Linked DNA regions of Kluyveromyces lactis. The protein of the gene in region 1 interacts with the protein of each later gene in a pairwise test. Links are inferred from orthologs where the notes say so. Each region holds a gene or a part of one and is shown on either strand. Other genes may lie near its edges. The genes, in order: ERG27 and ERG7.

The links.
Region 2: the proteins of ERG27 (region 1) and ERG7 interact in binary tests that used the Saccharomyces cerevisiae proteins (3 or more experiments, as listed by UniProt). The link is inferred for Kluyveromyces lactis from reciprocal best matches to the Saccharomyces cerevisiae genes ERG27 and ERG7.

What each region holds. Positions count from the first base shown.
Region 1 is NC_006042.1:1,829,488-1,832,328, reverse strand, and holds ERG27 (3-keto-steroid reductase), read right to left. Parts: upstream 1,841-2,841; coding exon 800-1,840; downstream 1-799. Other genes in the region: SAC6 (fimbrin), read left to right, coding at 1-602; MTC5 (Mtc5p), read right to left, coding at 2,100-2,841. UniProt on the Saccharomyces cerevisiae protein: 3-keto-steroid reductase; part of the third module of ergosterol biosynthesis pathway that includes the late steps of the pathway. ERG27 is a catalytic component of the C-4 demethylation complex that catalyze the reduction of the keto group on the C-3.
Region 2 is NC_006038.1:888,139-892,078, reverse strand, and holds ERG7 (lanosterol synthase ERG7), read right to left. Parts: upstream 2,542-3,940; coding exon 346-2,541; downstream 1-345. Other genes in the region: auxilin-like protein SWA2, read left to right, coding at 1-237; YFT2 (Yft2p), read left to right, coding at 2,808-3,611; MCM21 (Mcm21p), read right to left, coding at 3,601-3,940. UniProt on the Saccharomyces cerevisiae protein: Lanosterol synthase; part of the third module of ergosterol biosynthesis pathway that includes the late steps of the pathway. ERG7 catalyzes the cyclization of (S)-2,3 oxidosqualene to lanosterol, a reaction that forms the sterol core.

The DNA.
Region 1 (2,841 bases):
TACTTCTACAGGCATATGATAAGGTTATTCCTGGATCTGTAAACTGGAAGGTAATCAACAAGAAATCATCTGACTCTGAACTTTCACGCTTCAAGGCTTTGGAAAATACTAACTATGCTGTTGATTTAGGTAAATCTAGAGGATTCTCTTTGGTTGGTATTGATGGCTCTGATATTGTCGACGGTAATAAACTACTAACGCTAGGTTTGGTGTGGCAGTTAATGCGTAAGAATATTGTCAATACAATGAATGAATTGGCCACGACTGGTAGAGATATGTCTGATTCCCAAATCTTAAAGTGGGCTCAAGAAACAGTTTCCAAGGGTGGAAAATCATCCACCATAAGATCTTTCAGCGATCCTTCGTTGTCCAACGCTCACTTCTTATTGGATGTCCTAAATGGTTTGGCCCCAGGTTATGTGGACTACTCATTAGTGTTACCTGGTAAAACTGAAGAGGACAGATATGCAAACGCCAGATTGGCTATTTCTATTGCTAGAAAGTTAGGAGCTCTAATCTGGTTGGTTCCAGAAGACATCAACGAAGTCCGTTCGAGATTGATATTGACATTCGTTGCTTCTTTGATGGCATTAAAGAGATAATACAGCGATATTTCAAGATTTACTGTACTTCAGCTCTAAAGTCTGTATATGTATTTTCGAATCCTTAAGTCCTCACTTTCAAATAGTATGTGACTACTTTCAAATGATCCTTCATCTAATATGTAACTTATAAGCAACTCGCACGCAACATTACGATAAACAATAATTCTACACGATTTATTTGAATTATGTAAAATTTATAATGGTATCCTTGTAGGCTTAATCTGGTCTTTTAACTTTTCATCCCATTGCAGTTTCAAATTGGAGATGTATTTATACACATCTTCACAGCCGGTTGTATCAACTTCATCAGTTTTAATATATTCTAAACCGTCTCTAAAAGTTGCCGATCCGTATTTCATTTGCTCCTTCTCAAAGTGCGGATTAGCCATTGTTGCTACATATACAGGAGCATTGGCTGCTTTGTATCCTTGTATGTTGTGCCAAGGTGAACCAATCCATCTGGCCAGATAGAATAAGAAGAGCATACCATAGTAGGTGAAAACATTCAAATATTGGAAAAATGAGAGACTGGTAAAAATACCAGGATGGGTGAGATATTGGCGGATTCCGAGCTTTTTCATCTCTTTATATGTTGCAGAATGTAACAAATCAACTAATCTTTTTGAACCTTCATAAGAAACATCGGATTCCAATAGCTGAATATCTTGTAAAGACAAATATTTAGGAGCGGACATGATACTAGAGACCCAAACGACAGTACCTTGTCCAGCCTGGAGTAACGGAAGCAGTTTTTGAATTAGATAATATGGTCCAAACACGTTTGCCTGGAACACAAGCCCCATCCCGTCCTTTGATTTGACTCCCACTCGTTGAATTTTATATGTTGGGTTTGTGACGGCCTCCAGTGGACTGGAGAAGACCTCTTTCACTGCACCCAACCAGTCAATCCCTGAGTAAACTCCTTGAGCTGCATTCACAAAGAAGTAATTGATGTGATCGTATCTTTTTGACAAGCTGTAGTGGGCATCAAGAATGCTGATCATGTTGGTAAAATCAACCAGCAGGTAATCATAATCTACAGAGCCAGTCCTATTAATGGTATTGACAAAAGCCTTAATTAAATCAATGCATTCACGAACCCTAGGTAATGTTCTTGATGTCACAACTATCGTGAGGTTGTCCTCTGGCTCGCTTCTCTCAATCAACCGATATACGATATTCAAACCTAAATTACTGTTTGTACCAGTGACCACTGCTACCTTTGACGAAGACATGCTGGTTTTGAAATTATTGGTACTCAATAGCTACTAGTATACGTAAATCAGTGCTAATGGACGGGAACGGTTCCTGTAGCCTGGAATTTTTCGCTTGTGTCGCATCATCATCACCATCTATTTGGTTTTCTAGTTCTTTCAGAATTCCGGAAGGTTTATCATCTCGTTTAAATATCATTAAAACCCAGGAAAGAAGGTGTATCAACGACTGATGGTTAAAAGAAGATGAACGATAAGACACTGCTACATAAGATGCATTTTATATAAGTGGTTCGCTGACATCGAAGTTCTTTATACAGTCGCAACTACACCCAGAGGGGCACTCATCGCCAATTTTCCACCATTTTTCTGCGCAAGTCCTGTGAGTCACGTGCTGACAATTACCGCATACGAACACCAATCTACCGGCTTTGAGGCCACAGTAGCTACAGTTTTGTTGAGTGTGTCCGTGGTTAGATTCAATCCACCTATTCGATACACCTTTGTAAATATCCAATCCCGAATCTTGTTCGATCCCATGCAAGTATTCAGGTTCTGTGTTTAAATTTACATTAAACTTCAACAACTCGGCCCTATCCATAGGCAACCCCCATATATAAAGTATCTCTGCATATTGCGTTCTATATTGTCTGAACTTGGTTTCACATTTCGGATCTACCAACGAAGGTTCCAGACCTTGGTAGGCAAGATCCAAAACATCGTCATGAATTAGTTTGATCTTGATATCGGGAATTGTCGCTTCAGTTTCTACATACCCATTGTTCATATTATTATGGGATTTCCCGTTCTTGTTTCCGTTAGCATGATGATTTTGATGGAAATAATCATCAGATATGATAGAAGAGCCATCGTTCAATGAGGCTTGATTGGTGCCATATCTCATTCTCGCATTTTGTGTACCTGTGTCATTAGAGTAGAACGATCCGTGAGTGGAATGAACATGTGGCGATGGCTCGTATTCATTGTTATAAAATGTAATGATGTTTTCTGATAAAGTAGGC
Region 2 (3,940 bases), on another chromosome or scaffold:
AGATATCTTTTGGCCAATTTAGAGCCTCTTCTGTGGTGGGCATCTTGGAAGGAAGTTTCACCGCAGGATTTAGTCATGACCAAGAAAGTTAAAATTTGTTACTTGAAAGCTATTGCAAAGACTCATCCAGATAAAATTCCCGCCGATGCAAGTTTAGAGACAATAATGATCGCAGAGAATGTTTATACGATTCTAAATAAGGCTTGGGAATATTTTAAATCCCAAAACAACATCTAATAAATTATTTATAATCTTGCATATGTACGAAACTTCATAAGTCTTGTCACTTAATTACTTGATTTTAATTACTTTGTTTGTGAAATCCACGGTAAACTATACACACATTTAAATTGCACTGTGGCCGTATTCTTTTACATATAGACCGAGAGCTTTTATTGGGAACAAAAATCTGTAACTTGGATATTCAATGGCACATGAATGATTGAAAACACCTTCCACAGCTTCATATTTCCATTCACCTGACGGTTGTTGTCTTTGCTTTAAAAGGTTAATTGCCCTATCGATAACTGATTTGTCAGGGAATTTTGCTAATATCAACCCAATGAGCACCCATGCAGTCTGTACAACGTAAGATTCTTTGTCCGATACATATGTGTGAAGTTCACTAGATTTCATTTTCTCAGACCAACCACCATCAGGAAGCTGTTTAGTAACAAAGAAGTCACACCCTTTACGAACAACTTCGCTATTCTCATACGTTTCTCCAATCGTGTTTAGCGCTTCTAAGGCGAACATTCCAGCATACGTGTAACAAATACCCCAACAGCCGTACCAAGAACCATTAGGCTGCTGACTCTTTTTAATATATGCAATAGCTGAATCAATAGCATGATCGATATCCTTTTTCCGATAATTGAAATAGCGACGGAAGTACGTCAAGCCGAGGACCGAGGAATCTGTACATTCCACATATGGGAATTCAACCATGATATTTCCAAACACTTCTGCTGGATTCAATTTTTCCATTAGTAAGGGCGCTTTGATCTTCTCATATGTAGCGAAGGATCCGTATTCAAATGATGACAAGTTTTGCAATCCCAAAAGGACATCTATGCCGTTTTTCAACTTTTCGGTATCATATACACCCCAGACATCTCTATATTTGTCGGAATTAAGAACCATTATGATAGCTTTGATTGCCTCCGCTGTACAATCTGAAACGGTGTATCCTTGGGTTTTTGTGGAAAATGGCCAAGCACCCAACCTTTTATCTCTGAAACTCCCTTCAACACAATCCTCAGTAAATTGAGAGCGACATAAGAACTTAAACGATCTAACAATGGTTTCATGGAATTCGGGCAATTCAGCCAAACCTGCCATAAACATATACTGAATGTAAAATGCACAATCCCAAACTTGGACACCGTTGGTCCCCATAACGGTTAGGCCCTGAGGTCCATGGAATAACACGTCCTTGAATCTATAAAGGAATCTACCAAATTCTTCCGAATCCTTCCCTTCTTCAATCAATGTCACAATTGCACAAAAGGCATTATTAACTGGTGCAATACATAGATAATCCGTATTTGCAATTTCTTTCTTGACAAGTTCATATACTCTATTAGTGGATTTTTTCAACAACCAATTTGGTCTAACGTATCTTTCGTACTTAGATATGAAGTAATTCATAGTGTCTAAAACTTTTGTGTGTGGATAGTATAGATCAACACCGCACACGGTATTTCTGTGTTTCTTGAAATCAATTGTCTCGAACGGTTGGGTGTAAATCTCCGTTCTAATTTCTTCCAACAAGGGATCAAGTTCACAGCTATATTGGGTACTTGACAAATAACTCACCGGAAGATAAATACCTCTTGTATGAACCCACCATCTTGCTGGATGAATATTTAATCCGTATGGCAACATCCATAATTCTGGTGGGGCTGGGTTGACACCCTCCCATTTATACAAATTTAAGATTGACAACCATATCTTGGCCCAATGAGGAGACGCAATGGCACCTCCTAACCTGAGTAAAGTGTCCCTTGCTCTAACACAAACTTCGTGATCCTTGGGTAAACCTAACAATCTCATCATGACATAATTTAGTACAGTACCCAAAACAGTTGACTTATCGACATGATGCAAACCCCATCCCCCATCGACTGGGTGTGCATAGTTGGCAACGTACCTAATCATTTCAGCTTTCTCATGCTCAGGTATTTCAATCTTGGCAATATACATCGTCACAACATACCCAATTGTCATGAACATTGGACCCTTATACTGGCATGGGAATGTTCCAGAATCAGGGTCCTGCAAAAGTTCAAAGAATTTTGCACCGTTATGTGCAGCGTTCCAAGCAGTAAAACCTGATGTCTTGCTATTAATCTCTGGGTGCGGTTCTGGAAAATCTTCACATTTCAATAGCCATCGTGCAAAAGTTGATTGCGGAACTTTCTTGCTATCATTCTCACTTAAATATTCCCATGTTTGTCTTCCCAAGTCATCTGTGATGAGCCTCCAACGTTTTGGATCCGTCCTGGGCAATCCAATAGTTTCAGAATAAAGTTCTGGCATTAACACAAAACCGTACAGCTATACAGCACCTCCAGTGATTAGCCAAGAACACTATCTATGTTCTCGAATCCGAACGGCTAAACGTGTCTTTCCTAATCTGTTGATAATCGTTATATATAAATCTATAAAAGATGTTTAACTTTCCTGTTAGGAACTTTAAACGACAAGACCTGAGAAGAAGAACGAGGCGTTGCACTACTCGAAAGGAATAGAGAAATAGGATTGTGGAACTCAAGGATTGAAGGCGTTAACAAAGACAAAGTCCAATGCGGCCTGATAGAATAGTGTTGGCCAAGTTCCCTGTCCCTGGTGATTGGTGGTTGCACATATATCCAGCTCTTGTGATTTTCGGGTATTTTATATCGGTTCTTATAGGTGAAGATGAGCTCGAAAGAGAAAGAAAGGAATGGTACTGGATCGGTGGACGCAACGTAGTGAATCATTTATTTGCTTACAAAGGTATCTACATATTCGACGTATTGTTCGGTTTATTGATAGGCCTACAAGTATACGTTCGAATGAAGCACGAGGAATCGTTGTTACCCACTAGTAATGGAGAACAGGACCGTAATTCTCCCGATCTTCTGAAACAAGTTGGGAAAGTTCTAAAAGTATATTCGATAAAGTTTGTTTTGGTATACCTGGTATTATGGGCCTGTTTCTTGTTCATCGACCATCTTTTCGTGTGGACGGGAGGAAACTGCGATCTTTCTGATACGAAATCTGCAGAGAAATGTAGATCTTTAGGTGGGAGCTGGGTAGGCGGATTTGATATCAGTGGTCATTTTTGTTTCTTAACAAACATAAGTCTAACTCTATGGCAGGAGTTGAAACTCTTGCTGCAATATGCGAACCAACATACGATATCCTGGAATTCACCGTCTTCTAAATATCAATGGATTGTTTTACTGGTTTTGTGCATTTGGATAAATGTGCTAACGATAACATCAATATACTATCACACATTCCCGGAGAAAGTGTTGGGATGTGCCTTTGGGTATTCCTGTCTATTGGTAATTTATTATATCCTGCCTAGAATCAAACATGTGAACAAGTTCCTTACATTATAATCGACTGGAACCTATTAGTTATGCCGTAAATAGATCCCAATAAAGAAATATTCTTCTCTCCATTGAAAGTACAGTCTATAATCTCGTCATCACCATCGTCAACCTTTATCTTTATTATATCTGCACCAAGCCTGAAAGAAACGTTCAGCCCCATGTTATCGATGTGAAGCAATGAATATTGCTTATCATTCACATAGTTTCCCTCAAGCTTACGGAAAAATTGAACTCTAGAGTGAACCTTTAAAAGGTCTTTATAACACAGGTTCGCGAACTTCATGATATTAGAGTCACTAGTATCGGTATCTTTTGTGATTAGTTGCCAATGCTGG